Arabidopsis thaliana: one gene and its partners. The protein of the gene in region 3 purifies or fractionates together with the protein of the main gene of each other region. This does not show direct contact. Each region holds a gene or a part of one and is shown on either strand. Other genes may lie near its edges.

The links.
Region 1: the proteins of AAC1 (region 3) and AT4G15000 fractionate together in Arabidopsis thaliana (co-fractionation; one large-scale study listed by BioGRID). This does not show direct contact.
Region 2: the proteins of AAC1 (region 3) and AT5G25450 fractionate together in Arabidopsis thaliana (co-fractionation; one large-scale study listed by BioGRID). This does not show direct contact.
Region 4: the proteins of AAC1 (region 3) and AT2G32220 fractionate together in Arabidopsis thaliana (co-fractionation; one large-scale study listed by BioGRID). This does not show direct contact.

What each region holds. Positions count from the first base shown.
Region 1 is NC_003075.7:8,568,171-8,575,528, reverse strand, and holds AT4G15000 (Ribosomal L27e protein family), read right to left. Parts: upstream 3,714-7,358; 5' UTR 3,634-3,713; coding exon 3,226-3,633; 3' UTR 3,168-3,225; coding exon of another isoform or gene 3,142-3,167; 3' UTR 2,848-3,141; downstream 1-2,847. Other genes in the region: AT4G15025 (uncharacterized protein), read left to right, coding at 1-123; AT4G15010 (Mitochondrial substrate carrier family protein), read left to right, coding at 665-781, 862-937, 1,015-1,110, 1,368-1,884, 1,980-2,115, 2,210-2,404; AT4G14990 (Topoisomerase II-associated protein PAT1), read left to right, coding at 6,018-6,069, 6,466-6,611, 6,706-6,762, 6,938-7,013, 7,238-7,358.
Region 2 is NC_003076.8:8,852,990-8,861,235, reverse strand, and holds AT5G25450 (Cytochrome bd ubiquinol oxidase, 14kDa subunit), read right to left. Parts: upstream 4,320-8,246; 5' UTR 4,201-4,319; coding exon 4,107-4,200; intron 4,026-4,106; coding exon 3,868-4,025; coding exon of another isoform or gene 3,850-3,867; exon of another isoform or gene 3,588-3,849; coding exon 3,540-3,587; intron 3,456-3,539; coding exon 3,387-3,455; 3' UTR 2,760-3,386; downstream 1-2,759. Other genes in the region: AT5G25440 (Protein kinase superfamily protein), read left to right, coding at 4,514-4,571, 4,663-4,916, 5,042-5,177, 5,533-5,675, 5,758-5,884, 5,981-6,261; AT5G25430 (HCO3- transporter family), read right to left, coding at 6,977-7,024, 7,107-7,226, 7,316-7,595, 7,676-7,995, 8,079-8,198. UniProt on the Arabidopsis thaliana protein: Component of the ubiquinol-cytochrome c oxidoreductase, a multisubunit transmembrane complex that is part of the mitochondrial electron transport chain which drives oxidative phosphorylation.
Region 3 is NC_003074.8:2,603,371-2,612,378, reverse strand, and holds AAC1 (ADP/ATP carrier 1), read left to right. Parts: upstream 1-4,483; 5' UTR 4,484-4,745; intron 4,746-4,805; exon of another isoform or gene 4,806-4,847; intron 4,848-5,340; 5' UTR 5,341-5,348; coding exon 5,349-5,822; intron 5,823-5,905; coding exon 5,906-6,280; intron 6,281-6,376; coding exon 6,377-6,673; 3' UTR 6,674-6,944; downstream 6,945-9,008. Other genes in the region: iPGAM2 (Phosphoglycerate mutase, 2,3-bisphosphoglycerate-independent), read left to right, coding at 1,142-1,306, 1,402-1,680, 1,764-1,967, 2,059-2,483, 2,786-2,978, 3,058-3,153, 3,243-3,398, 3,532-3,696; AT3G08570 (Phototropic-responsive NPH3 family protein), read left to right, coding at 7,967-8,052, 8,175-8,241, 8,322-9,008. UniProt on the Arabidopsis thaliana protein: ADP:ATP antiporter that mediates import of ADP into the mitochondrial matrix for ATP synthesis, and export of ATP out to fuel the cell.
Region 4 is NC_003071.7:13,675,587-13,683,017, forward strand, and holds AT2G32220 (Ribosomal L27e protein family), read left to right. Parts: upstream 1-3,323; 5' UTR 3,324-3,358; coding exon 3,359-3,766; 3' UTR 3,767-3,937; downstream 3,938-7,431. Other genes in the region: AT2G32200 (cysteine-rich/transmembrane domain A-like protein), read left to right, coding at 866-998, 1,127-1,274, 1,405-1,453; AT2G32210 (cysteine-rich/transmembrane domain A-like protein), read left to right, coding at 2,491-2,521, 2,669-2,807, 2,923-2,968; PRORP1 (proteinaceous RNase P 1), read right to left, coding at 4,022-4,120, 4,206-4,277, 4,352-4,472, 4,572-4,753, 4,845-4,934, 5,016-6,170; AT2G32235 (uncharacterized protein), read right to left, coding at 7,237-7,401.

The DNA of each region.
Region 1 (7,358 bases), on a different chromosome or scaffold from region 3:
TTCGGTTCTGGAGAAGAGGAAGCTGGAATCAGCCGGAGATGGAGATTTCCGACGAACGGCGGAGAGAATCAGAGGAGGGTGGAGGATTGCGATGGCGGAGAAATCGACCCGGCCCGTTTTTAGGGTTCGAAGAAAATAGGTTTGGCAGCTTTTTCTGGTTTATGACCTATAAATCGGCAAATCTGTATCGTGACGTCACCAACCCAATTTTGCTAAAATTTGTTTTCCGTTTTTTAACTTTTTTTTGTTTACCCTTGATAACTAAAACGACGTCATTTCCTTTAGGGCATTTTCTGATTGAACGACGTCGTCTTTTCTTCTCCGATTAGCGTCGGTCGTCTTCTTCGTCTTCTCTCTGTCGCTGATCTGGGTTTTGCTTCAACGTGAAACATCTTTGAGGTTGATGATGAGGTTTCTGTTTACTTAATATCCTGTGAGAGAAAACTCTTCTTGACTTGAGGTATGATAATACTCTAATTATTGTTTATTTTGTGTTGGATCAAATGGATGATAAGAACTTGTTGATCTACTTCTAAACCTCTTAATTTTGGAGACTATGATAAGAGTAAAGGACATAGTATGTTTGAATACTGATACTGTAGTCTGTAGTGTTGCTGACAAAAACGTATAGGTATATGTACATTTGTTTTCGCTGAGGCTAAAGATGGATAAGCTTCTTGAGAATCATCAGTTTGCGACACATGCCATCGCTGCCTCGGCCTCTGTCTCGTTAGGAACTGCTCTCGCTTATCCTTTAGATACCATCAAAACCATTATCCAGGTTTTTTCCCTCTTCTTCACCAAATTGTTCTTTTTATCACTTAGATTCATCTGGGGATTAAGAATAGCATTGAACTACAGGTTGGTTCAGGACCCAATAAGAAATTAAGCTCCTTTCAAGTTTTTAATAGAGTTCTTCGATTCTCTGGCTATTCAGGTTCGCAAACTACTCTTTTAGATTCCAATCATTTTCTGATTCTGCATCAGGCATAATGACATGTTCTTCAAATGCAGGTCTGTACAGTGGTCTTGGATCGTTAACTTTAGGAAGAATTTCTGGTTTTGGTGCAAGGTTTGGTGTCTATGAGATTCTAACAGCTTTCTACAAAGGTATTACACAGGTCCATGTCTCCTTTGTTGTGTCTGATTTCGATGATTCAAGATTAGGTTTCTTTGTGTCTAGCTCCTCTGTCAATTAGCTCAATAACATCAGTTAATTAGTCAATACAGCAATCATTTGTTCATGGATTATGTTAGAATATGCAACAGTGTTCACATACATTCATGTCATTTATACGCAAATTTGGTTCCTTTTTGGGCAATACCTTTGTCTTGAAGAATCTGAATATGAATTCATTTCGCTCCAGATGGTCGACATGATAACTACGTGAGTGTTGGTGAAGCTTTTCTGGCTGGTCTGGTGGGAGGTGCAGCAGAAACAGTGATGACTTCTCCATTTGAGCTAATCAAAGTCCGAAAACAAGTGACTGCTGCATCACGGGCTCCAAATGCTTCCGCTGTTGCAGAGACCGCACCGGTCTCACCCATGATCACAAAACTGCTAAGAAGATACACTCTTGATGTAAAGTCATTGACACAAACAGTCAGTCTCTTATCCGTCTTAAATCACAAACACCCAAACATGACAGCTGCTTTGCAAGAGTACCCTTGGATGATGACTGGAACAGGAAACCCACCATCAGCCATGGATGTTAAGAGACCGCTCGATGTTGCATCACTTGAAGGATATAGAGCTTTATGGAGGAATCTACGTTCAGGTCTTATAAGAGATTGTATTTACGGTGGAGTATTCTTTTCAACATGGCAGTTTCTTCACGAGGCAATGGTCGGTTGGAAAGCTGTTGGGATGAATCCTCTGCCCAGGTACTTAAAACTCTCAATCGACACTGAATTCTCAATTCACTTGAACTTGGATTGTTGATTGTTAAAATGATTATGCGGAAACTTGATGAATTCAGTTCTGAAGAAGAAGTTGGACCTTTATCTCCGGTAGCCATTAGCCTTGCTGCTGGGATATCTGGTGCCGTTGCAGCTGCAGCATCACATAGCTTTGACACAGCAAGAACACGTGCACAGTGTGTAATATTGCCAAAGGTTTAAAGAAACTCTACTCATGGCTTTCCACTTTATCTTACAAAGAGATATGAAACTCATTTTCTCTGTTGGGTTTCTATTGTTTTACTTACAGTATACAGCAAAGGAGAGGAAGTTTCTAAAATGGAATAAACCAGGGAAGAGATTAGAGAGATGGACAGGAATCCATCCTACAGACAGAAATCTCTTGTTCCGAGGTATTGGGATGAGGATGGCTCGAAGCTCTGTTGCATCGACTGTGATCGTAGGAAGCTATTACTTAGCTGTCGATTTATTGGTTCCCAAGTGAGAAAACAAACAATCACATAAGCCTACAAATCTGTCTTTAGATCAGATTAACGATACCGCAATAGTGATTGTTTTTTAGTAGCCTGCGTTTTGTTATACAGTTAACAGAGAAATCATATGTGAGTTTTTCTCAATACTCTGAAATAAATAATTAACATCATTGGCTGTATCTGTAAGTTTGATGATTACAAATTATCAATTTCCTAGACAAATGAAACTCGAAAATTTGCTGTATTTTACGACGAGTTTAGGAATAAGCTACTTGCAATGGGATATTCAGAATCTAACAAAAACGATACAAGATTCAACTTTTGGTAAATACATTTCCCGATTCTATCAAAACTTAATGCCAGAGAAGCTTATAAACAAAGGAGATATAGCCATTGTATCAGAACCTTGCTCAAAAAACAATTAGCTATTGATATTTTGCTAATTCAAAACCGTGATTAAGACAATTAGTAACACCAAATTCAATTTCGAAGATTACGAAACTTGAACATCTATAATTTTCTAACTAAGGCTATGAACAAGAATTCTTTGCAATGGACCTCCAGATTTTAACCAATATCAGCCTAAAGACGTTACTAAATTCATCATTTCCTCAAGCCTAAGCAAATATAATTCAACGGAAACAAAAGAGTAAATAAGAATGCATTAGAGAATCAAAATAAAAGATCAAATCCATAATCCAAACTTCAACAAAACATCTTCCACAATCCAAAACAGGATCCACATTTTTCACCATGGGAAATGAACCCTAGAAACTAAAAAACACGATAACAAAACGCTCAAAATGAATTCCTCACGAAATAGAAAATTTCTTCAGAACCTGAGCTTGGTAAAGAACCATCTGTTCTTACCGGTTTTGAACCTCTCCTCAAGCTTAGCCTTAGCTTCCTTAAGAGCAGCAACCTTCTTATCCTTACTCTGAAGAGCATCAAGAGTCGCCACTTCCTTGAGATCCACGTCGAGTGTGTAACGAGTAGGCATCAGATGCTGGTAATTAACAAGCTTGATGAAACACTTAACCCTAGATTTCTTAGCTGTCTTCTTAGCTGAGTCTTTGCGGATGACTTTGCTCGGGTACTTCTTGAGTCCGGCGACGAGGCAGTGTCCGTAAGGACGATCACGGTTACCGTCGTCGAAGGATTTGATGATGACGGCTTTCTTTCCGGCGTAACGTCCTTGAAGAAGGATCACGGCCTTGTTCTGCTTCAAGAACTTCACCATTGTTGCTTCGTTTGGTAGATCCCTCTCACTTGTCTCTCTCTCTGGCTGCTATGAACCCTAAGTGGCGGATTCTATGAGAAATGCGGCTTTAATAGTAATGCAGAAAATGGATGCGGAGAGAACCTAGTTTCAGTTATTGGGCCTTTAGGTTAGACCCATTTTTAATTTGGGCTTTATATTCTTATCACACGGCCTGGTAAACCTAGCTTCAGTTATTGGGTCATACTAATTCTAGTTTTCCTTTTTTTTTTTTCTTACGTTCGTACAAACTTCAAAAGAGTTATTATTACAAAAACTTTTTTTTTTGAACTAACAAAGACATATATAAAATTATACAACTGTTATGGATCCCATTGATAATACAAAACTGTAAAAAGAATTAAGTTGTTAGCTGGAGTTGTAAGTATTTTTGAAATAGTGCAAAATTTACAAAAGAATTATACGAGAGAGCTGTAAAAAAAAAAAAAAGTAAAACTTTTAGTAACGGTTTTGATAAAACTTTTATGATTGGTGTTGAAGCTATCCAACTCTATATTTGACTGCTAATTTTAGTTACTCATATATGTTTTTTGGCTTGCTCATAGCACTACCACTATGTATAGTGACTAACTTTTACAAAATTACACTTATACTATCTACAAAATTATACATTTATCATATTATTATTGGAATTGTTTGTGAAACTATACATTGTATCGCATAAAAACATGCTGTCTTTTTCTCAAAATCTTCTAATTTTTCGATCAAGTTCCATACTCAAAATTATCAATTTAATTGTCACGAAAATTTCGAAAACCTTTCTACCAATATTTTAAGACTTTCAAACATGTCTACTTTCGTTTTCGATCACAAAATTTACCTTTCATCATACGAACAAAGTTGGAAACTTCTTCTCGCAGCAATCAATATATTTGTTTATAATTCTACTAAAATGTGTCAAATATTTATAATTAAAAATTGCATGCTTGACTTTTCTAGCCACTGCGAGACTATAGTCTATAATTATGGACTGTTAACATCATATTTGCAGATTATTATATATTTTAGAAAACTTTGCTTGGCCGGTTATATCGTGTCTACGCAAGTAAGTATATAGGTGTCATATTTTATAAAAAATAGACCATTTGAATTTGTGTATAATAAATTAGCAAATGAGATCAAATTGAACCGACCGGATGAAATCCGTTCACATGGACCATATAACTTGTCCCTCCAGTTATTTTATTTTATTTCGTCGATGTGTATTTAATTTTGTTAATCTCTATGCAATTAAGTTTTCATAACTAACTTATTTGGTTTGGTTGAGGAGTTTCAAACAAGTAAAAGCATAAACTTAAAAGGAGAAAATAGGTGGAATCATATATTTAGAAGGATCGTCTTACTAATTAGAATCATATACTAGTAGTTAGTGGATGTGGTATAACCTATATGGCTATATCAATTAAATTGTTTTTCGTAGTTATCCAAAATAATTACAGAAATAAGACGAATTCTCGTAGTTATCCAATAATTTATTTAATGTTTTCATATAAAATCTGAAGCCTAGAAATGCAAATTATGAAATTATGTATGGTTTACATGTATAATTGTTTATAGTGGTCTCATATGTTAAAAAAATAATTTTTTTTAATCGTGAATGTAGTGTGGATTACACGAAATCGGTCGATGTTTTTCAAATGCCGCAGGAAATTATATTTCTATGATAAGAAAATGTTTATGATCACTAATATTAGTAGACACAGCAATATGTAATAAATAATATTAAAATAGAGAGAATAATAAAATAAAAAAGCAGACAGCACTAAAAAAAGGTTATTCTTATCTTTTGTAATCACTATCACTAATTTTAGTAACATACTGTATAATTTTAATTAAAAGAAAAAAAAGTTCGGAAAGTGGAATATTTTTACTTTTGATTTTTTGTCAACAGAAGAGAATTTTTCCTTGACGACAAAAGAAAACATTTTTAATTTATTCTCTTTTATTTTAACTTAACGAACCAAAAAAAAAAAAAAGGTGAAATGCTTATTTCAGACAGAGAAATGAGGATTTGTTCGAGATGTGTCAATGTTACGCATAGCACAGGGCAGAGATAATAAAAAAAGGCTCTCTCTTTCTTTCTCTCTCTCTCTCTCTCTCTTCTCTAATCTAATCTAATCAAAAATCTCTTCTTTAGGAAGAGAAGTTTCCTCCTTCGACTTTCTTCTTTCTCAATATGAATCCCGGAAAATCGGGAACCTCTAGCGATTTCAGCTAATCTTTACTTACCTTTTCTTTAGTTCTGACAAGAAGTAGCAATACCCTTTTGGAGATTCGATCGTATTCGCTGTTTTTTTTTTTTGTGTTTTAGCTGTCTTCGTGTCTCTGCTACTTTGTGTTTGATCATGGAGAGATCTGATTCTAGAGATTTCTACAACTTCGCTAAGACTTCTTCTGGTCAGTTCTCTTTCTTGTTCAGCTCTTTTTGTTTTCAAATCTAATAAAAGTGTTTTTATTTTGTGATTCATCAGTTTGCTAAAGCTTCTTTCTTTGATCTGAGATGTGAATGATTTGATTTGCTTCTGATTTGTGAAAACTTTAAGAGAAACATACTTTTTGTTTCATGCTTGTTATGTTTGATTTATCTTCCTTGTTACAGTATTTGATTCGTTTTTTTTTTAAGTTTTGTAGTAACCTATAAGATTTACTAATTTGATTTTTGAAGTTGTATGAAATGATTGAAATGTCACAGATTTGTTTACAAAAGCTTTAGTTTTACTTAAATTTTCTGGTCAACTGATTGTCACTTACCTCATGTGTTTGATGAAACTGGATCTTATTGTCTTTGTGCAGATAACAATAGTGCACTCTTTGACGCATCTCAATATGAGTTCTTTGGTCAAAGTCTTGAAGAAGTCGAATTGGGTGGTCTTGATGATGATGGTACTGTTCGTGGACATGTTGATGATGAAGAGTATCACTTGTTTGATAAAAGAGAGGTAATTTGGACTGAGTCTGTTCTTGGCAATATTTGATGCTAATTATATATGAGATAAATGGAAGATAAAACAAAACATTTACTTCTGGTTTCAGGGTGCTGGTTTAGGATCATTATCTGACATGGATGATCTTGCCACAACTTTTGCAAAGGTTAGCATATTGTAAATTCCGAATTATGACTTTAAATAATTCTGTTTCTACTAATATCATTTTGTTACCATTTTTCATCGTCTCTCTTGAGACAAATGATCTGTCTTTCTCAGCTTCTTATTATTACTTGTTCTCTACTTTAACTTATCTTATTATTTGGTCTTATCTTGTGCAGCTGAACAGAAATGTTACCGGGCCCAAACACCTTGGAGTAATTGGTGACAGAGGATCAGGGTCCTTTTCAAGAGAAAGTGAGTTTTGTTTACTGTTTACTATTCTTGTTCTTCTATGTTACTTTTTCTTCTTCTTGAACTATGCAACTAAAGGTAAAAACTGTGAGCTTGTACTTTTAGATATCCACTTCTGGAGGTGAATGATTGGAGTATTAAGTTGTGGTAGTTGGAAATATAATTACAAGTCAACAAAAAAAAAATCCATTATCAGCTTTTTTTCTAACAGTAGTTTTTATGTCCAGGTTCTACTGCTACAGATTGGACTCAGGATAATGAGTTCACAAGCTGGTTGGATCAGCACACAGTTGAAGAACAAGTTCAGGAAGCTAGTTGGTCTTCACAGCCACAATCATCTCCTAATTC
Region 2 (8,246 bases), on a different chromosome or scaffold from region 3:
TATCGATAACCTTTTTTTGTATATATATTAGTAGGTCCGTTATAATTATATAATTTATATTGGTAAAGACAAAATACTATTTGAGGTACGTTGTATTCATATAATATACGTAGTATTAGGTAGGGATGTTGAATTCAAATTTTTGTTTGATTTTGGGTCGGAGTTTCCAGTTTAGGTAGGGATATTGCGTGATTTTGGAAATCCCTTTGATTGACGAAAGGTTTATTAATGTTTTTATACCAAAAAATTTGAGGTTCGAGTCCCAGATACTAAGATTTATTAACAAATTTGCAGATTAATGGAGGTAAATGTACATGAGATCTCCAACGATGTACAATTATAGCCGTTCGTCAAGATTCTACGTAAAGAGGATCATTGAATATGTCTATCAAAAGCATGGAGAAGAAGAAGGAGATATCATCTCTCGTAGATCTAATAAGAGTCGTAAAAATTGTTCTGGGTAGAATTGTATATGAAACAGTTCTCATAATTTGCAATAAATAATAAATATAGACGGCAAAAAAAAACCCAAAAAAAATTAAAATTTGATGACTAAGACCAAATTGTTTTTATTTTAAGATCAAACATCCCTAGTATTATTAGGAAATATATTTAAAATTGCATAATTCAAAAACAAAGTTAACAAAATAGATAGTTTTGAACATGAGAATGAATTCTTTTCTTTTTTGTGTAAAGATGCTGAAAATTTAAATAATTAAAAACCGTATTTTTTATATAATTTTTTTTGAATCGTATCAAGATTTTTTAATAGCAATAATTCTTACTTTTCAAATATTGCGTAATTTTAGTTTGTCCCTCTAAATTCGAAATTAGAAGCACCAAAATCCTTTCAAAACCGCATAAGAGACAAATGATAGTAAGACTGATTGGTGGAAGTGTGGCCATATACTATTGTTTTAACATTTAGCTACATAAATTTGGCTTTTTGGAAGCTAGGCTATAACTATTTTTTAAAATCATGCAATATTTAATAAATCTCCGCAAAAAGAAAAATATTTTTTTTAATAATCATCAGTAATAAATAATTATTGGCAATTTGGCATTTGGCAAGTGAGAGAAAAGAATAGGAGTAAGTCTACTCACATTTAATTGAACATTGTCATTTTATTTCTGTTAAGTAATTCATTAATGAATTTAGGCAAAGGACCCTCCTGTGCTAATGTGACTCACATGGAAATGTCTTCAAATACAAATCCATATCGTTCTCTCTACTGACACCACTCTATTAAATACTTTAAATACCTTATCTCATTCTTATCTACCTCGACACTTATTCACTAGACCGTGCAAAGCATCGTTGTATATATATGATTCATGTAAAAAATGTTTAAAAGTGGCATCTTTGAGGAATTGTGTAAACATTAACATCTAACTTAATGATCAAGTTTACATTACACATCAATCTTATGTATAAGTTCAGTGTTTAAGTGAACCGTACATAACCATAAAAGGTAAAATTGTGTGGTAGATTGGAGCCTAAAGAGCCATAAGGAATGTTTGGTTAAGTGGGCTTTAGTTATATAGTACAAGAGACTAACATGCTTAAGGAATGTTTCTTTGGTAGAAAGGTAATGCTCCCGAAGCCTCTCCCGCTTCACCTGCATATGAAGTATCGTGTAAGAACTTTGCAATAAGCCCCCTAACACTACAAGACAGAGAAAAGTTCATGCTACAAGACTACAAATTCATAAAATTATATAAACTATTATTCTTTGATCATTATTAGCACAAGATATGAATATGAACCCTACGAAAAAAAAAGATATGAATATGAATATGAATATTTGTGTATATTAAATCAAAATTGGCTACGACAAAAAAAAAAATTCAAAATTGGCTATGGGAAAAAGCTAATTATGTAAGGTTGTTCACAAAAGGGCTCTTTAAACACAGACGATTCTTGATCCTTATACAAGTCTTATGTTCAATCTTGCAAGATCAATTTAAACTACAAACTTGAATATTGTGCTCCACGTCATAGGTTTAAAACTATAACTATAAACTACAAAAGTTGGTGGTTCCCTTGTTGACATTTTCCAACGCGTTGACATTTTAACACATTGACTTGAGACGTCCATATACTCAATGGCTTACTCCAGAACCTTGAAGCCCGGTGGAGTAGATCTAGATAAGTAAGGTGAATCATCTTCTTCCTCAAACTCTGTTTAACTGTCAAGAAAGCGGATCTTATAGGCATGGGAAACTGTTTTCTAACCGAACAACTTGCAACAATTCCAGGTATATATGAATCTGTGTGAGGAGACACATCAATCCCAAGACGTTATCTCCATCTAAGGAAGGTGTTGGCATGGCCATCGCCGTTAAGAGATTTTACTTAACCTATGAAGAAGCCTTGCAAAAGTGATTTGTAAGAAATTAACCTCTACGAGAGAGACTGATCACTCATATATGTATGCTTAACACGGCAGCCGAGGTTTGTAGGTTGACCTAGAGTTTCTACGACATAACCTGCATCCAAGCTTGGTCAAGCTCATTGGTTACGGTTCGGATGATAATTGTTGTTCATTGTTTCTGAATACTTTCCAAACGGAAGCTTAGAGCGTTACATTTATAGGAGTAAGCAAGCTAGAAAATTGTATTGAGCGCATTTCTTAGAATTTACTACGAACCTCCTGAATACATATTCTCAGGTAAGTCCTCTCTCAAGCTACAGAATGACCATTAAAATTCATACACTAACCTAAAACTGATTGCACGGTAATACGCATATACAGGGAGATCACACATGGCGGGCGATGTATACAGCTTCGGTGTTATACTATTTGAGATCTTAACTGGTTTGGGAAACCCGTGCATCATCTTAGCAGAGGAAGCAACAGAGAATAGAAAAGAAAACATTGTGGAAATGATCGATCCAGATTTAGAGAATAGCTATCGTGTTGAAGAGGGGATGCGTATGTGCAAGCTCATAAAACTGCCTTGAAAGAGATCCCAAGGAAAGACCATCCATGCAACAAGTGCTAGATAATTTGAATGCTATAGCCCATATTTGAGAGGACAAACTAAGGGTTATAAAGGATTGTGGTTCAGAGGTTACACGCCTCTCTTCAGAGCTCCTATGAGGAACTGTGAAAACATTTCCAAAAGCTAGCTTAAGGGTTTGTGTGCCTTTATGTCTTTATGTAGCATGATTTACTCTCCTCCTACCGGTGTGGGATATTTTACTCATATTTCTGTAATAGCTCAATCAAGCTTACATTACACATCCAATTCAATCTCATAAAATCTTATACATAAGGTTCACATATCCATGCATAACCATACAAAAGCAAATTGTGCGGTATTGAAGCCTAAAGAGTACTAAAACAGTGACCCTACTATAAGCACAAGAGAGACTAACATGCTTAAGGAATGGTTCTTTGGTAGAGAGGTAAAGCTCCCAAAGCCTCTCTCTCAGCTCTCTCCCGCTTCACCTGCACATGAAGTGTCGTGTGTTAGAACTTTGCTATATGATTCTTCTATCACTACAAGATAGATAAAACTGTTTTTGTTCTTACAAGAGCCAACATGTCTTGGAGGTAGCTCCTGAATGGAGTCTGCACTGCCTGTGGAATTACAGAGACAAGGAAAAGAAAAAAAGATTTACATAAGCTTCCTATCTCACAACTAACAAGCACTATCTCAAAAAAAACTTCTTTCATAGACAAGATCTTACAAAGCTTATCAAGTTACAATTATATTACAGAACCAAAACAGGTTTCTGAAAACAGAGTGTTCTTGATCCTAATACAAGTCTTAAGTCAAATCTTGCAAGCTCTATCTACAAACTCCATAGCTATATACCGTTTTAGCTCTGTTGTCACTTACTTAGAGACTAAAACATACCTGAAGATTATCTGGGAGGTATTCATGTTTCATAGAAAGATCCATTGCACGCATAAGACGCTGGTTCCGAGCATCAACAATCTCTCTCGGTAAACGATTAAGAGCTTCTTTAATATCCAAATCATACAAAGGATCATAAAGATCGTCGTATCTAAGACCTAAAAAATCGTAAAATTCCCAAAATCAGCCAGAAGAGAATTAGGGTTTGGTTTCTAGGGTAAGAGAGAAAGAAAGAGTACCGTATCTGCGGAGGCGATTAGAAACAGACTTCATATGCATACGAGCTAAGAAATTCTTCCTGGGATCTACTAGTCTCTGGAGAAACGACGCCATTATCTTCTTCGGAGTAACGTTGAAGATGTGAATTGTGATGAAACCCCTTCGCCGCTATTTGTAATTTAACCCGGGAACGAAGAAGGAAGAAGCATCCAGAGACATCTGTTTAAACGCCGTCGTATGAAACTCTAGCCAAACGGCGTAGTATGTACTCTTATCAAAAAACGGCGTCGTATGACTCACCAAATAAAACGCGTCAACCGTTGACTCTCAAACGCGTTTTCGTTGACTTTGCTCCTCGGTGTGAAAAACTAAAAGTCCTCTCTTCTTCATTGAACTCTAGTGTTAAGATTTAGCAGAGAGTATCCGAATGGGAAATTGTCTCTCAGCTTCGACACTTCCCACCGAACCAAATGCTCCCAAATCAGGTATACATATATATATTTCTCTGCGGATTTAAGTACTTTTGATTTGAATGTTACTATAATGGATATAAGTTTTGTTATAATATATGTATAGTGGAGGAGGGTGTGAAAGTCTTCACGGTGGCAGATCTGAAGAAAGCGACTAATGATTTCGGAAACCAGATGGAACTAGGAGAGAGCTTGGGATACATCAATCCCAAAACGTTATCTCCGGCCAAGAAAGGTGTTGGCATGGCCGTCGCGGTCAAGAAAATTTACTTAGCCAATGAACAAGCTTTTCAAGATTGGCTTGTAAGTAATTATATCATCTCAATCTATAGGAGAACCTTCGGCAAAACCAATAATATTGTTAAGTTTCTTGTTACTTATTTATTCTTCTAAATTTTTTGATGTTTTTGGATGGTAAATGTCTATGTTGCCTACCCCTAGAGATGGGTCAGTGTGTCTTAACATTAGAGATGATATTTTTGTAGGTTGACGTAGAGTTTCTACGACATAACTCTCATCCAAGCTTGGTGAAGCTAATTGGCTACTGTTATGATCGTGATATGTTGTTTATTGTTTCTGAATACTTTCCAAATGGAAGCTTAGGAAGTTACATCAGTAGAGGTAAGGAAGTTAAGTTTATTCATCTCCTTTTCGTCATTATATCTTGTGAGTAGACTCAAAGCAAGAAGAATCTTGCTCGAGCAAGACCCAAAGGTAAGAGCTCTTAATAAGAGCTTTAAAACTAGATCTAAAAATTGAGATAGCTCATTAGAGCTTTATTTAGTGGAAGTGAGGAAAATATACTAATTGAAGAACACCAAGCTAAATGATTCCTAGATAATTTAATATCATAGAGAGGGAATAAAGAGAGTTGCTCAAATTGATTTCTGGAGCTCTCACGAGTTTACGATCTTAACCTTAGATCCAATAGTAATTCATCTTCCTTTTGGATTTAATGGTTTATATAATATCATAGATAGTCGTCCAAAGTCATTGCCGTGGGAGACACGACTTAAGATATCCATAGGAGCGGCTCAGTGTCTTGCCTTCTTGCACTCTAGGAAGCAAGCCGGTCTATACCGCAGATATCTCACTGCTTCGAAAATCCTGCTCGACTCGGTTTGTATTCACCTTGCCTTTTTTGTTTTTTTTCTTGAATACTTGCTCCTTACCTTTAAAGTGACATTTATGGGATATGCAGGACTTCAACGCAAGAGTTTCCTATTTTGGAAAGCCAAAAGTTTCTCTCGATGAATTGGTATACACCATCGGGTTTTCAAATGTAGCACCTAGATATCAATACCCACCTCCCGAATACATACTCTCAGGCAACAATCTTCTGCTTCTTCCTTATATCTTAAAGTTAAAAGTGACCATTAAATTCAAAGAGACTAACCTTAATTGATTGCACTAATCAAATGAAGGGATGTCGAACATGGCGGGCGATGTGTATAGCTTTGGTGTTATACTACTTAAAATGTTAACTGGTTTAGGAAAAGACCTCACAATCTCAGCAAAGCGAGAAATAAAAAATAAAAAGTACAACATTGTGGAGATGATCGATCCAGATTTGAAGAATAGCTATCCACTTGAAGCGGGAAGACTTATGTGCGAGCTTATTAAACAATGCCTAGAGGTAGACCCGAAGATGCGACCAACCATGCAAGAAGTGCTAGATAATCTGAATGCTATAGCTCAGATTTGAGGAGAAACTATATAAGGGTTACTAATGCTGAAAACATTGTTTCACTATAAGACAGTTATAACATAGTCAATGTATGCATTTGTATACAATAACTCGTATATGACGAGAAGTATTAAGAAACAAGACCTAATTCTCCATTCTTATCCATCACTCAAGAACAGAGCTATATGCTAATCAACTTTGAACCTTTACACTATACAATGATCATTATCTTCTTCGACCTCTCTCTCTGCAATACGTTGAAAATATGATTACTTTGGAGCCACGCTATGTGTCAGAAGAATAACCGAGAGATGACGTGTAAAGCAAAAAGCGTTGTGAAAATCTTTTATCTCCTCTAAAATAACTTTGACTGGTGTACCATTGTTATTCTTGCTAGCTATTAACTGGTCTTGAAATTTGGCGCATTTTTCTTGCAAAGCAAGCAATACGAGGTGACAAGGTATTCATGGCAGAGGTGATCGATCCGGATTTAGAGAATAGCTATTAGCTATCCTCATGAAGCGGAAGACATATATATAAGCTTATAAATAATGCTTTCACCGTCACCCGAATAAATGGCCATAATGCAGCAAGTACTGGATAATTTGAATGCTGAATAATCTCATATTTAATTGCTGAAACAAAGTTCCACTATAAGGAAAGTTATAACATAGTCAATGTATGCCTATGCACAAATACAGTTGTGTACAAAAACAATTGCAAAAGATTCTTTTTAATGTGGTTCAAAGGTTACATGCTTCTCTTCAGGCTCCGGGTGCACCTGAAACAAGATTCTTGTTTATATGCATTTTTTCATATCAATGCTTGGATTGTGTAGAATAGATATAATTTGTTTTTATTACCTCTTTAAAACTTATGGTTCGGATCCTTATTTCACCTCTGCTTGTAGTCATCTCATCCAATATCTCCGCGTCGTAGAATTCATCTTCACCTTCTGATAAATGATGAGAAGACCCTAGTTTCTGCTCACAAAATGGTTTAAAGGTATCACACACGTGTACACAAAAAGCCCCTGAATCAGTTTAAACTCATTAAGAGACCAAAGGTTTACCCTATATGCGAAACTTGAGTGTTGGATAGGTGCTGCTACTATTTCTTCATAGTCAGAAGCATCTAACACTTGAAGGTGTTGCATATCGAATAACTTGGGAAGCAAGTGTTCTCTTATACTTATAAGTAGAAAGAAGAGTGCGGGGAAAAATATCCCGGCCATAGGAATCCATGTCATACCATAGCACAAGAGAAAATAAACCAACTGGAAAAGTGTGAATGTTACAATCACTCTGTATGGTACCAACTCCACAAATGAAGCATGCACTCCTTCCAAGACTCTGCATTTAGATGAAACCAGTGATTGAGAAAGGCAGACCTTTCTAAAAATAGACTAAAGAAAAGATATATATTAACTAACTTGAAAAGCCGGCTAGGAGGAATAAAGAGAAGCAACAATCTCTCCCAAAATTGGTTTCCCGGGAGACTGTCTATCGCCATATAAGCAAAGTAACCCCAAAGTACTGAACTTGGGATCATTTTAATGACTGTCACTGCAAGAAGTGTTAAACCAACAAGAACTGATTGCAAAAGATTGCTCACTCTTTGCTCGTTTACTCTAACCGGTAAATTAGCCTCTATATGAACATCGGGATCGAATTTTCCTTTTGTATCGCCTCCTTCGTCTGGTCTCATCACAACTTCTTTCAACTCTTTTAAATCTGTTGCTACAGAATTATCCTGCAAAAAATTTAAGGTTCTTTTTTTTCTTTAATTTCAAACAATTTCTTTCTATAAATATAGGAGAAGGCATTATTACTAACCTGAGGTGGGGATGTCTCCATCTCTATAAACACTGATTGCATTCTCCCATATATTTCTGATTTGCTTGCTTTCATTTTCATACACTCCTTTGCTTTCTTCACCATTTTCTTGCGTATAAGCTGCAAAAAATATATCATCATCTCTGTTTCAACTCTCCTTCTTCTTCT
Region 3 (9,008 bases):
CAAAAGGACAAAAAGGAGAAGAAGAGTGTTGTCGTCAGTCCCATTTGTTCACAAAAAAAAAAATGATACAGCCTGTTCATCTGATTTTTTCTCCCTTTACACATTAACAAAAATTTAATATTTTGTTTGTTTTTTTTACTTTCCTTTTCGACCAATCATATTGATACATTGCGGCATTCAATTTCGCCGTAACAGTTGTCCGTCTACCTCTTATTGTGTTATCTGTATCTCTCTCTGTATATTTCCCATATATGTATACTGTATGATTCTTTTCTACTTTTGTTTTTGTCTTTCCTTATCCTTGGCCCATTTATCTGACTATGAACCACGTCTCATCTAGTTTCAGGCTTTTTAAGCCCAATATATAGGAACTCAACTTTTTGTCTTTGGCCCATTAGAAATTGTTTTTTAGCCTTCTACCAACCTTTTGAAGGTTCCCAGTTAATATTATGATGATATTGAATAAATAAATGTGCACAACCCTGAATTTCTTACATGAGTTTTCGGTTTGGTTTTCGTGTAATTTCAGTTTGATTTAATGCAATCTCAAGGTTTAAATAATGATTTAGATAAAAAAAAGTTACTGTCAACAGAAATTAATGTAATCCCAGTTACTAAAACTTACCCATTTTTGATCAAATTCTGGTTCAAATACCGTATAAACTATTAAGTTAACTCCGGTTTGACCTTTTCTGTATGCTATTTTTTACGTTGACCAAAATAAAAAGGTATATACAATTTTTTTTACATGGCGCACACCATGACTATTACAAACGGCATGATCCAGAACATTCGTTCATAGCAGCTAAAACTAGAACATTCGTCTCCTTCCATTTTTTTGGGGGCTTCACAATGTTTACTTGAGCCCAAAGTAAAGCCCATTAAATTGGTACCACGTCATCGCTAACTTTTCCATTTCTATGTTTCTATAAAAGTCTCATATTATGTCAGTGATAGCTCTCAACCTACCATACTTCACCACATAACCACTTCTGTCTCTGCGAATCTCCATAAGACTCTTTGAGAAGCTTTCCTCTGTTTCTCCGCTGGTAAGCTTCCGTTATCTCTCTCTCTCTCGCTTCTCAGATCTGTTCCTTAAACCTTTAATTTCTCACCGACGAGTGGATCTGAATCCACAGTTATGGGTAGCTCCGGCGACGTTAACTGGAAACTTGCGGACCACCCCAAGCTTCCCAAAGGCAAAACTATCGGTTTGATTGTTCTCGATGGATGGGGTGAATCTGATCCCGATCAATACAATTGCATCCATAAAGCTCCAACTCCTGCCATGGATTCCCTTAAAGACGTATGTTTCCTTTTTTGTTTATATCCACTTCTTTCCTCGATGATTTCGCTGGATTCCGATTATGGACTTCAACGGTTCGATTTTATTCTTCACAGGGGAAGCCCGACACATGGAGGTTGATCAAAGCTCATGGTACCGCCGTTGGTCTCCCCAGCGAAGACGACATGGGAAACAGTGAAGTTGGCCACAATGCTCTTGGAGCTGGTCGAATTTACGCTCAAGGTGCTAAGCTTGTTGATCTCGCCCTTGCTTCAGGGAAAATCTATGAAGATGAAGGTTTCAAATACATCTCTCAATCTTTTGAGAAAGGCACTGTGCACCTTATTGGTCTTCTAAGCGATGGTGGAGTTCACTCTCGTTTGGATCAAGTCCAGGTACTTAATTCTCATCTGTTACACATTTCTTTTGAAACGTTGGCGTTTGTTAATTTTCTTTAATTTGGTTCTGTTTGGTGCAGTTGCTGCTTAAGGGTTTTGCAGAACGTGGTGCTAAGAGAATCCGCGTCCATATTCTTACTGATGGTCGTGATGTTTTGGATGGTTCTAGTGTCGGATTTGTTGAAACTCTTGAAGCTGACCTAGCTGCTTTACGTGCGAAAGGTGTTGATGCTCAGGTTGCATCTGGTGGAGGTCGAATGTATGTCACAATGGACCGTTATGAGGTAGGCAATGCTTGTGAGATCTTGTATGAATGTCATGCCTTGTCTAGTCTAGTTTAGAAATGAATCCAATTTTTGCTTTCCTTCCTTGCAGAATGATTGGAGTGTTGTTAAACGAGGTTGGGATGCACAAGTCCTTGGGGAAGCTCCCCACAAATTTAAAAGCGCTCTTGAAGCAGTTAAGACACTGAGGGCAGAACCTGGTGCCAATGACCAGTATTTGCCTTCGTTTGTTATTGTTGATGATAATGGAAAGGCTGTGGGTCCAATTGTTGATGGTGACGCAGTTGTTACATTCAATTTCCGTGCTGATCGAATGGTCATGCATGCAAAGGCCCTCGAATACAAAGATTTCGACAAGTTTGATCGCGTACGTGTCCCTGATATACGTTATGCAGGAATGCTCCAATATGATGGAGAGCTTAAGCTTCCTAGCCGCTATCTTGTTTCTCCACCATTGATTGACAGAACTTCTGGTGAATATCTGGCACACAATGGCGTTCGTACTTTTGCTTGCAGGTTAACTTTTAGAATCTCTCAAATCTTTAGTTATTGTCTTTGCCATTTTCTTCTATTGCTGCTTCCTGGTTTATTTATTTGCTGGAATTGGATTCATAATTGAAACTGTGATAAGAGTAATCCAGTCTTCTTTACTTGCTCGGTAGAGGTCTAATTTATGATTGGGGGTTGTTTGTTGATTAAAACTAGTGAAATCTCCTAGCTCACTTTTTCTTGATGAGATTATACCGTTGATGGTTAGTTACATATAATGAATGAATTCTCAGCTATTAACCTATTAAAATTTTATTTCACTGAAACAGTGAGACTGTGAAGTTTGGCCATGTAACCTTCTTCTGGAATGGCAACCGCTCTGGATATTTCAATGAAAAGTTAGAAGAGTACGTTGAGATTCCAAGTGATAGTGGAATATCATTCAATGTCCAGCCAAAGATGAAAGCACTGGAAATTGCCGAGAAAGCAAGGGATGCTATCCTTAGTGGCAAGTTTGACCAGGTAAGGTGTATTCTCTTATCACATTGTATCAACCCATTAAAACAATTGGCTTCTGAGTTTGGTGCCAATGGATTTTCAGGTGCGTGTAAACCTGCCAAATGGAGATATGGTGGGGCATACTGGTGATATTGAAGCAACTGTTGTTGCCTGTGAAGCTGCTGATCGTGCTGTGAGGGTATGATTTCAATAAATTTGTGACATGGGAATGTTAGAAACCGTTCTTAGTAGCAATGACTCACTTAGTTTTGGTGTCCTGGTTTGCAGACAATCCTTGATGCCATAGAACAGGTCGGAGGGATATACGTTGTGACTGCAGATCACGGAAATGCTGAGGACATGGTTAAAAGGGACAAATCCGGCAAGCCTGCTCTCGATAAGGAAGGGAACCTTCAGATTCTTACCTCTCACACCCTTAAACCAGTAAGTTCTAGCACTACTAAAACAGTTCGTGTTATGACCATTGCAACTGAGCATAGATTAAGCATGAGGGGTTGTAATACCAGAAGTGGTTGGTGTATCTTATATGAAATTTGGACATGATGTGTGTGTGCAGGTGCCAATTGCCATAGGAGGTCCTGGCTTGTCAGCAGGAGTTAGGTTTAGACAGGATATCGAGACACCTGGGCTTGCAAATGTAGCTGCGACAGTGATGAACCTCCATGGATTTGTGGCCCCGAGTGACTATGAGACAAGTCTGATCGAAGTCGTCGAGAAGTGATGATTCTTGTTGTTGTAGTTCTTTTTAAAAGTCCCACCTGAGCCTCTATAGACTCTGATTCTCTTTTAAGTTACTATTTTCACCGCTCTCTAATAAGGCTCGTGATTTTTTGGGAGCCATACTGTATACTCGCCGGCCCTCTCACGATGTTGTTCAATTCACAGACTAAATTTGATTTATCTATTTCGCCAAAACATAACTTCATTAAAAAATGTTCTCCAAATAACTAAACGAATTAAATAAAAGAAACCTTTCATGTAAAGTTAAAGGTATGAGACTTTAAGGGCAGTTGCTGAACATTCGTAACACATGGGAGAACAATAGAGAAAGTTGAAAAGAAACGTAGCATATAGAAAAATTATCTTTGTAACCAAGTTGATTTAGAAAAATATCACTATTTGTGAAAAATACTAGATCAGTTTATTATTACTTTTTTTTTTTTTGTATATTCACAAATATCATATTCATATAGAAGAAAATAAACAAAGTTGTAAAAATCTGGCATTTAAAATAAAATTGAACACTTCAATTTATTTCCTTTCATAATAATAATTTTGGCATAAGATATTTGCAAATTGATCTGGTTCGGTATGGTCGACAAAATAATTTTCCACGCTACCCTTCCAGCCGTCCATTCACTATTTGCCCTCAACGTTACCAAATAACGGTCCAGATTCCTAGGGCAAGATCTAACGGTTAGCAAGTAAAGTCGTACCATCAGAAAGAATAACAATTCTTTCACAAAGTAAACATAACCAACGGTTAACAAGTTCTTAGGGTTAAATCAGTAAGATCCAACGGATATTAAATTGCAAGGCCCAAATAGTTTTTTTGCAGCAGATAATAACTCGTCCCCACTGGCGAGTGACGACCGAGACTCTGTGACCCTATTTTTCGAGACGATAAAAGGGCAAACAATCGCTCTTTTCAAAGCTCGCCTCTTCACCACAGAGAAAACTTCGTCTCTCTTCTCTGCTTCGCCCTCTCATTTCCTGTGAGATAAAGGCGGAGTCTCTCTCCAGTTATTTTGCTCATCCATCGATTCTTAGGTATGACTCGTTTCTCTCAGATCTGTGATTCTTTATAATCTCGTCGTTCTTCAAATCATTGTTATATTCGTTTCTTCGATCTGTGTTTTTTAGATCTGTAAGGTAAATGAGACGTTTCGATCTGTAGATCTGATTGTTATATTGATAGATTATGTTATCTGCTTTGCTTAAAGTCCGATCGGAATGTTTTGTGCTCATTGTCGAATATCTGATGTATCGGTTTCATAGATCTGCTTCTTTTTGTGCGTTTCGTTGATCTGATAATCTTCTAGTGATCAAAATCGTTTGGATCTGTTGACTTTAGTTTAAAATGTATCCGATCTGATGTCGAGGCTTCATTATTGGAAGTTGTTATTGTTGTAATCCTGATTTAAGTTGCTGTTCTTAAATTTATATGATCTTTGCGTTATAATATGACATGGTAGATCTTGGTTCATGGTTCACTGTTTTCCAATAAACTTGGTTTGTTTGGTTGGATAGCGTTCTGTGATACGACCATGTCTTGTGTTGGATAAGAATTCTCTGAATTTCCTTGGCTGGTTTGTAGTATGTTATTCACGTCTGGTTTCTCATCAATGATTATGTGATTTTGCAGAGTTCAAAATGGTTGATCAAGTTCAGCACCCCACTATTGCGCAGAAAGCTGCCGGGCAGTTCATGCGTTCAAGTGTTTCCAAGGACGTTCAAGTGGGTTACCAGAGGCCTTCTATGTATCAAAGACATGCAACCTACGGAAACTACTCCAATGCTGCATTTCAATTTCCTCCGACATCCCGGATGTTGGCAACAACTGCTTCTCCCGTGTTTGTCCAAACCCCAGGAGAGAAGGGGTTCACTAACTTTGCCCTTGACTTTCTGATGGGTGGTGTTTCTGCTGCCGTCTCCAAGACTGCTGCTGCTCCTATTGAACGTGTTAAGCTTTTGATCCAGAACCAGGATGAGATGATTAAAGCTGGCAGGCTTTCTGAACCCTACAAGGGTATTGGTGACTGTTTCGGCAGGACGATTAAGGATGAAGGTTTTGGTTCTCTATGGAGAGGAAACACTGCCAATGTTATCCGTTATTTCCCCACTCAGGTTTGTTGAGTTTCATACTCTTTCTTGTTATAGCTTTTGAAAAAACATAATTTTCTGCTAACCTTCTTTTTTGTCTATTGTAGGCCTTGAACTTTGCCTTCAAAGATTACTTCAAAAGACTTTTCAACTTTAAGAAGGACAGAGATGGTTACTGGAAGTGGTTTGCTGGTAACTTGGCATCTGGAGGAGCAGCTGGTGCCTCTTCCCTTCTGTTTGTGTACTCCCTTGACTATGCCCGTACCCGTCTAGCTAATGATGCCAAGGCTGCAAAGAAAGGAGGTGGTGGAAGACAGTTTGATGGTCTTGTTGATGTCTACAGAAAGACACTTAAGACTGATGGTATTGCTGGTCTGTACCGTGGATTCAACATCTCATGTGTTGGTATCATTGTCTACCGTGGTCTGTACTTTGGACTCTATGACTCTGTGAAGCCTGTTCTCCTCACTGGTGACTTACAGGTATGTCTTGTTGTCTTTCTCTCTGATCTGTGTGCTCTCTTGCCTATCATTGGTTGATATTGACATGTTGTGGTCGTTCTCTTTTGGTTATTTCAGGACAGTTTCTTCGCTAGTTTCGCTCTTGGATGGGTTATTACCAATGGTGCGGGTCTTGCATCCTACCCCATTGACACTGTCCGCAGAAGAATGATGATGACGTCTGGTGAAGCTGTCAAGTACAAGAGTTCTTTGGACGCCTTCAAGCAGATCCTCAAGAATGAAGGAGCCAAGTCACTCTTCAAGGGAGCTGGTGCCAACATTCTGCGTGCTGTTGCAGGTGCTGGTGTGCTTTCCGGTTACGACAAATTGCAGCTGATTGTCTTCGGTAAGAAGTACGGATCAGGAGGTGCCTAAGCATTGCTTCTTCCTCCTTTTTTCGATTTTAATTGCGGTTTTAAGGCCCGCAATAAACTGAGATGTTGATGAAATTTTTTTTGCTTAAGACTTAGGGAGGCATGTGCCCTAAACCAAATTTTATATCGTTCTGACGCCAACTTTTTTTACTTATGGAATAATTCATGTTTGAGAGAGTTTGTTAGACTCTTCGATTTTAAAGAATTTTGGATTTATGAAATAAATTCTTCTTTTTTATCTGATTACCATGTTATTTATAGTCTTAATCAACTTGCAATATTGATTTCGTTATCTTAGGTAGTATCTACAATCTAGTTCAGGCTATAAGTTAAAAAAATGCACGCATCCAAACCTGTGTAACTTAGAAGTTTTGTACGAAGTAGTGAACTTAAACTGTAGCAACAATGATGAAAGAAATGTTGCAAACTCATTGTTGAGAATATCACTTATATATTGCATGTCAATATTTCACTCTTCATATCCCTCATATTGCACCTATGTCTATATCAGTAGTAATGAGAGAGCGAATGCATAGAGCTCGGTTAACATGCATAAAACATGGAAAATGAGAGTGAAAAATCTACTATGCAAATCGCCCTTTAGCATCACCCATCTCTGAATTATTTTTGTGGAACAGAGTCATAGAGTTGCACATCAGTTTGGAATTATGAACATTGATAGAAATCAAGAAAACTTCCAATAAGAAGACACCAAACAGATATTTGAGTTAACAAAAGGTGTTTCTGAAAGCTTTGAAATAAATTAAAATAGTGATGTATTAGTGATTAAGGATCTAGAGATATTTAAAAGGATCTGTCATTTTGCCATTTGTCTGCTGCTATTGGAAGGATTTTGATCCGACAAGGATTTCACATCTCAAATCACCATGTCAATTGTTTGGTGAAACAAAATAGAGCAAAAGTAGTGGTGACAAAGTAGGGTTCATAGGTGGTTGGTTAGTATAAAAGAGAGATTAGATAGAAACTGAGAGTGGAGGTTGTAATAGAGACCTCAATTAGTAAAGTGAAAGTGTGCCCCCAAGAGACTATAATTGAGTCTTTATGGAGCTCCGTGCCACACACAACCCCCTCTCGGCTTTTCTCACGTGCTCTGAATCATACATCACCAAAAAAAGCATCTCTTCTTTTTTTTTTTGGAGTCAAGATTACGAAATTGAAAGTGCATTATAAAGTCTATTAGAGAGTTTTTAAAAAATCCGAGCAAGAAAAGGAAAGTGTTCAAAGCCTATATGTTTCTGAAAGGCTCCTCCTCAAATTCATACTCAAGGTCACAATGGGTATTATATCGGACAATGCTCAATCTCACTCGTCTTCCTCTGCCCCTGCTCCTTCCATCTTCTCCAGCTCCTTTGCCACTCGGTCTGTTCTCTGTCTCTCTTTCGTTCAAACATGTCAAAGTTTGTTCCTTTTATGCAATCACGTATAGATTTCTTACTTATCCGATGCATAAAGGATTCGTTTTTACCATATATAAATTGCAGCATATTCTCAGATGTTGCGGGAGACATCACAATTGTTGTTGATGGAGAGTCCTTTTTACTCCACAAGGTTAGTGATCTGTTTTTTTTTTTTGCCCACACAAAGTGTTCGACGGAATTTCAATTTACGATGTTTGAATTATTTTGCAGTTTCCTTTAGTGGCTCGGTGTGGAAAGATTAGGAAAATGGTGGCAGAGATGAAAGAATCATCTTCAAATCTCTCGCATACAGAGCTCCGAGACTTTCCAGGTGGGTCTAAGACGTTTGAACTCGCCATGAAGTTCTGCTACGGCATCAACTTCGAGATCACTATCTCCAACGTGGTTGCTATCCGTTGCGCAGCTGGTTATCTTGAGATGACAGAGGACTTCAAAGAAGAGAATTTGATTGCGCGGACCGAGACTTACCTCGAGCAAGTCGCGTTTCGCAGTCTTGAGAAGTCTGTGGAAGTCCTCTGTTCCTGTGAGACGCTTTATCCTCAAGACATTGCTGAAACTGCTCACATTCCTGATAGATGTGTGGAGGCTATCGCTGTGAATGCTTGCAGAGAACAGTTAGTGTTAGGGCTGTCACGGCTGAACCGAGGCACCGAGTCAGGGGAACTCAAGCGAGGAGATAGTCCTGAGTGGTGGATTGAAGACCTCTCTGCTCTGAGGATTGACTATTACGCACGAGTTGTCTCTGCGATGGCTAGAACAGGCTTGCGGTCAGAGAGTATCATAACGTCTTTGATGCATTACGCTCAAGAATCGTTGAAAGGTATTCGAAACTGCAAGGAGCGAACCAAGCTCGATTCGGGTACTTTTGAGAATGAACAGAGGAACGTCCTTGAAGCC
Region 4 (7,431 bases), on a different chromosome or scaffold from region 3:
TAGTTCCTATGGTACGGGAGAGGACTACTCGCCATAGGAAATCTATGGTAAAATTGGTCATTTTTCATATTAAGCTCTTCAAATGGACAAAAGGCTAGAGGGTATATATAGCAAAATATAGCTGATTTAGTTTATTGAGTAATAAACTTCTCCAATAGTATAATCTTAAGCTGCATATTTGGATTACGCATAGAGCTTCTAAACTATCTAGTAAGTATATATGCCATTAATTAACAATGAGACTTTGCTTTTTCTTTTTCGTCAAACTCACTGGGACTTTCTTAATCACAAAGTTGTGGAGCAAAATACATCACAAGGAAAGAGCCAACTTGTATCGTCTTCTTTTTTTTGGGCGCGATATATATATATATATATATATATATATATATATATATATATATATATATATATATGCGACTGAGTCACGAGAAGTCGTATTTATAATTGGTCTATAAAGAAACGTCAAATATTATACCTAAAATATTAAAAATTAACATTATTCTTTGCATCATCCAGGGGCGGACCCACGGTATAGTTTGTGGGGACAGTTGTCACCAGTAATATATAAAGAATTAAAGGTTTTAGCTTATACATTATAGTTAAAGTAGCAAAATGGTAGAGACTGCCCCTACTAAATGCTGAAGATAGCAGGTTCGATTCTCATCTAGTTACATTTTGCACCTACTAAATTTCTTGGCTGGGTCCGCCACTGGCATCATCTAGTTATTCTTATAACATTTAAAAATAATGGTTCTTTGCCGTTTTCTTTAGTCGTTGGAATAATAAATTTCTGGAGACTAACAATGACTGTTATCTGCGCTCACGCGGTTCTACTAAAACCGACCTTCTTTGGTTCTTCCCTTACATGACTATATATCTTCGTTTGCAAATATCAATCCATATATCATACACATCTACATACCATTTTCATCTACATTTTCAAAGAAAAATCATAATCTGTTCGAATATGAGCCAATACAGTCAAAACCAATATGCAGGTTTGTTTGTTTTTTGAGTCCCTACAAATTAAGCATCATGATCATGTATCATCGTTCATCAATCTCGTCATACATCATATTTCTAGAGTTTTATGGTAACAAAACTAATGTCAAATATGTATAATTAGGAGCTTATCCTACGCCGCCAGTGTCTACCGGTCCATACGTGGCACCGCCACCGCTCGGTTACCCAACGAACGACACGACTCATGCTACGGTGGCTCCTGTCGAGACAAAGTCTAAAGGTGAAGCTGCTGATGGATTCTTGAAAGGCTGGTTAGTCTCTCTTTTTTCTTTTCTTTTTTTCCAATCCTTTGGAAAATTTTAGGACAATTTGTTATTGTGGCTCAACGTAACCGGGACCGCACGTTTGATAAGTTATTGTTTTTTTTTTTGTTAAATGCAGTCTTGCGACCATGTTGGCCTGTTGCGTCCTCGACGCATGCATTTTCTGAGTTCGGAGGAAGCAGTCGATTGTTTATTAAATTTGACACTTCATGCAAATATTTTTCATTGTATTTTGCAAGTAGTTTTTGGGATTCGATTAGCTTATAACATTTGGACCTCCTATTTGTTGATTTAATTATTTATTACTACTTTTTTTATTTTATTACAACTTAGTTTGTAATAGTAAAATTTATTCTACTTTGTGCCCAAAACTGTCAATTGTTGTTCATTTAAATTTCTGGAATTAGATTTAGATACGCTAAATTAAATCACATTTTGCGTTTATATTCCCACCTAATTTGAAACCAGCAATTATTCTTCTTCATAAGAAAACTTTCATGTGCTCTCTCGAAAATAAAGTTTTACTCTAATAACAACACGCACTTTGGACGAGATAAAGCGATTCAAGTAAAATTATTATGGTTCAAACTATTATCTAAGATCCGTTTGTGTAAAACATAACTTCTAATAACATATATATTCTGATCTACTTTTGTTAGTTTTTATTAGTTAATATAAGCGTTAATTATTGTTCTCTCTTTTGCTTAACATGTAAATATTCCCATGGAGAAAGAAGTACACTTTTTGCTTTGAGAAAGAATAAAAAAACTCTTTATTATTACTAAATCAAGAAAAATATAAAACCATGCTGCATTTATCATCATTTTACATATTCTATATATAAGGTTCTCTAATTCGTATACTTTTGTAAATAGAGAACAACGAATTAAAAGACCAAATCGATAGCATCTTACCTTTTTGTTGATATTTATTAAGAGAAAAAATCAACACATTGTTATTCTTCAAGAGAATAAATTTCTGGAGACTTAGCAGTTAATGCAATCTGACCTCACGCGTTTTTTTTTTTTGACCTCACGCGGTTTTACTAAACCGACCTTCGTTTACTTCCCTTACCTCTCTATATATATATCTCTATCTTCATTTGCATATTTCAATTCATTTCATAATCATACACCTCTCTACATTTGTTACTACTTTCTTCTAACTTGTTTTCAAAGAGAAATCACAATCTATCTGTTCCAAGATGAGTCAATACAGCCAAAACCAATCTTCAGGTTTGTATTCTTTTCTTCGTACTAATTTAGCATCAGACCATATGTTTAGTCAATATTCTCATGGTTATAATCATATTTGCAGTTTCATAGTAGTAAGTACTTTTTTAAATGGTAATAAGACTAATGTGAAATATGAATAACTTATAGGAGCTTATCCTACGCCGCCAGTGTCTACCGGCCCTTACGTGGCACCGCCACCGCTAGGTTACCCAACGAACGACACAAGTCATGCCACGGTGGCAACGGTGGAGACAAAGTCCAAGGGTGATGGATTCTTAAAAGGCTGGTTAGTCTTCTTTTTCTAGTATAAACCAGGCATGCACGTTTGGTTAACTATCAAACCGGTTCGGTTATCGTGTGTTGCATTGATTAATTTGTTTTCTTTCATTTTTTGAATGCAGTCTTGCGGCCATGTGTTGTTGTTGTGTCCTCGACGCATGCTTCTGAAGACTTAGATGGTTTATTTTGATTATCTTTGTATTTTGCTTTACCAAAATGATTCGACTAGGTTTATGACATTTGGTACTTCTATTTGTTAATTCATTTCTATATCACTCTTTCTTTTGCATTGTGTAATTTTATAAATTCTTAATATATCGTTTGTTTTCTCTTAGACATCTTCTAAACCACGCTAGATTCACATTTTTGACTTTATTACCGGTTAGTCAACGTGGACTTAAAATCAATTTAATAACACTATATAAGCCAAAGTTATAAACAATTAAAACTCTTGGGGTTAGAATGCAAATAATGAACAAATCGATGCGTATAAATATCTCCCGATAAAGCCCTAGAATCCAAGGAAGCGCCGAGAGAAAGACAGAGAAGAGAGTGACAATGGTGAAATGTATGAAGCCAGGAAAAGCCGTGATCCTTTTACAAGGACGATACACCGGTAAAAAGGCGGTGATCGTGAAATCCTTCGATGACGGTACCGTTGAGAAGAAGTACGGTCACTGTCTCGTCGCCGGATTGAAGAAGTACCCAAGCAAAGTCATTCGCAAGGATTCGGCAAAGAAGACGGCTAAGAAATCGCGCGTGAAATGCTTCTTCAAGGTCATCAATTACCAGCACGTGATGCCTACGCGCTACACTCTTGATTTGGATCTGAAGAACGTTGTCTCCGCCGACGCGATCTCGTCCAAGGATAAGAAAGTGACGGCTCTTAAGGAAGCGAAGGCGAAGTTTGAAGAGAGGTTTAAGACTGGCAAGAACAGATGGTTCTTCACCAAGCTTAGGTTTTGAATTCTACAGTTTTTAATTTTAGTTTTAAAGTTTCAATTTTTATCTACCATGAATTGTTTTTGCTTCTGGTTTAGCTCAAGGTTATGTTTTGTTCTAAATTTCAGTAATATATATTCAATTTTGATGGTTAAAGTTTTAATCTTTCTAGTAACTCTTCATTGTGAGACATTTCTTTCAATCTTGTGGTTAATGAAACACAAATTTATTAAGAAATGAAGAATCAATGTCAGATGATACAACAAGGATTAAAAAAATTCAAGGTGTTTTGGATCTTTTTGCGCATAACCATTGCCTTGATGTTTGGAGATCATCTTCTACGCTCATTGGTACATGCCAGGTTCCATCTTCAGACTCCTGCATCATTCATCAATCAATCATCATCATTAATGCAAAATGCATACGAAAACATTGAGATGGACATAGAAATGTGAGTGTTGACCTGTATAACAATGGAGTATGGAGGTGGCATATTAAGTTTGAGTCCATCTTCTCTAGTGACAGAGATCCGAACCTGCAAACATTGAATCCAGTATCAATCAAAAGCTTATGTATATACATTACATAGACTCTTATATTATATGTTACCTGATGCTTCTCTTTCCACCTTGGGAAGAAACTATTTCCAAGTAACTGGAAGAGATGGTCTCTCATCTCATCGTTTGTTACTAACAAACATTTGCAACTTACCGCAGCGTAAAGCCAATACCTAGAACAATTTGATTTCACATAAGAAATGGTTGTCTTTTTTGGATTATTCATGGTCAATGTAATTCATAGACCCAGAAAAAAAGGCAAATGCAAATACCAATCATCGTTTGAGCCAGGAGGGGTAGCATAGAGAGCACCAGCGTTTTTCCATTTCTCTAGCAAGGCTCTGTTTTTAGGGTATGTAGCTGGACCTCCATTTACACGACTCTTGTGCAGGATCACAAGTGGTAACCTTTTCGACGGGCTTATTTGTTGGCATCTTTGGACAGTGTTGTTAAGCTAGTGGGGAGAGATAAAGAGTCGCATTAGATAAAGTAGTCAAACAATGGTTCTTGAGATTGGCATTAGAATGAGAAAGAGTCAAAACCACCTGGAAGAAGCTGAAACTGCGCTGGTTGACTAAGCCCATGTTGGCTCCATCAATGACTGCATCAAACGGTCCATGTCTTTCCAGCCATTCCTGCAAGCAAAAAACAACAACACATTTCTCAGGTTTTCTTTTAGATAGTTTTAATACAATCTTTTAGACAATAATTGTTACCTGAAACTGATTAAAATTAGCCTTGACTTCTCTTTCACATGCCAATCGGGTCAACGATGCAGCAAAGGTTTCTGTCTCAACCGGATTGATATCAATACAAACAAGCTTCTCTTTGCAACATTTACATACACCATTCTCATCCATCTCTGTTCTTTTCACATTCCATTTGCCAGTCCCCAGCCATCCTTGTCCATGCCACCCACCACCACCACTCACAACCGCATCCCTTATTTTCTTCACATCCCATTTCTTCACTCCAGTTTTTGTAGCTACTTCAGATTTAAACCACTCCTCAATCATATCAAAAGTCGATTTAGAAACCTGTCTCACCAAATCTCTCAATCGCTGCAACGTCTTATAGACCTTGTCTGCGTTCTTTGTATCCATACTAACTTTCAAAAGAGCAGCAAGCTCAGGTTCTTCAGGGACTACCTCTGATTCAACCATATGCGCATCGACTTCATAAGCTTTGTCTGCATCACCTTTCCTACAGAAACCAAAAAGGGCAGGTCCATAGGATCTCAACCTTGGTTGAATACCAAAGGCTTTCATCTGTTTCACCATATCGAAAGCCATTTCCGGGTCATCCTTTGCAACTGCGAGTCTAGCACCGTTTGTAAATGTAGCTTCATTGGGAACAACTTTATCAACAATCATCTGCTTAAAAATATCAAAACCCCTACTAAGCCCTGGATTTGGAGACGACTCTGTTGCTGCCTCAGCCAACGAGCATACATAAAGCAACACATTATAATGGTACTGGCTAAGCTGCACGCCATTGCGTCTTGCCTCATCATACAAGCGAAGAGCTTCCAAGACATCACCTTTCTTAGAGCACATATCTAGCTTTTGTTTCAGCAATGCTTCAGGAGACTGTTGAATAGCTTTCTTCTTCGCTTTCCTCGATAAGTTTTCAGAAGGAGAAGCTGCTGATTGTTTAGCAGCAGCGAGAGGCAATGTACATAGATGTCTGCTACGCTCAACAAGAATAAGACGTCTATCTCTGGTGCCTTTCACAAGTAAGGAAGTATGGTAGAAACGAAATGGAGAAAATCTAGGATGGTGGAGATGAACAGATGGGACTTTGAGCATCATTGCAAATAAAGGACAACACGCTCGAGAAAAAGAAGGTGTAAAACAAGTTAAACGCAGCATAACTTTGCTCTCAAGCTTGTTGAAGAATTAATTCTCAGTCGAATTCATCTGCAAGAGACAGGAAGAAAATATTCAAGAATTAAAAAAATGAGCTGTTTACACTTAGTCTAAGCATCTAAAAGCTCTATAGTCTATACATTATCGAGAAATAAAGAGCAATAACAACAGAGAAGACAAAATTGAAAACCTTTGATATACGGGCAATTTACAATATATCCGAAACAAAGTCCAAGAACAAAACTTTAGATATTGGTTATGTAAGAATGTGAGTTAGTAGTCGATAAAAAGGAGTAGAAATGTGAAGAAACATGGAAATTGTTCATTGGGTAATATCGTCGAACAGGTTGAAGGCAACACATAAGAATTTTGAGAAAAAGAACTTACATCGAACCAGAGAGAAACTTTCTTTCTGGTGGGAAAATTGGAAAAGATAAAAAGACGACTTTGGTCGACACAGCTTGTCCTTCAGGATTCACCATGGATTATCTCCAAGGTTAATAGATTGAGATATAAGAGTGTCATGGGATAGAGATTTTGGATGCTACTTTCTAACGACGTCGTTTTAGGTACTCTGTTTATTTCTATCCTGTGAAGCCCAAAAACGGCCTAATATTTACACATTAGGGCTTTAGAAGAAAACGCTAGGGTTTTAAAAATTGGGTTTTTTCTTTCTCCTTTTCGGCTTGTCAATTTTGATTTTGGGTTACAAACTTACTGATCTAGATAAAACCCAGACCGGTCATGGTTCCGTCTTGTGTTTACAACATTGTTTAGCGCATAAAACATTAAAAGAAGAATGATAACAAACACACAAGAAATCACTTCCATTTTAACGAATGAAACATATTTAAGAGTATTACAAGTAAGCGAATGCACAAGAGAGTATATGACAATGGAACGTATAGCTACCTAGTATCTATACAAGCATGAAACAGAGTGTGAATGTCTTCTTATCTACAGAAAACCTTTGTGATGAATATGCAGCATGATAGATCCTTCAACTAATGGTGATGATGATCAAAGAATGTGAATGTCTAACAACTGCAAAAAGGTAGCGGTCACCATTCTACAAGAGCTTGTAGTAGCAGTCACGGCCTGAGAAGAGAGTTTGGTAGTTTCTTCCACATGGACAGTTGATCTCAACCACAAAGGCCTCACCGAGTCTGTTGACCTTCACACCTTCTTTGCACTCTTTTGGTTGCTCCTCTTGTTGTACTACCTCATCTACTGCCTGCACCGCAACAAACAATCATTGTGCTCA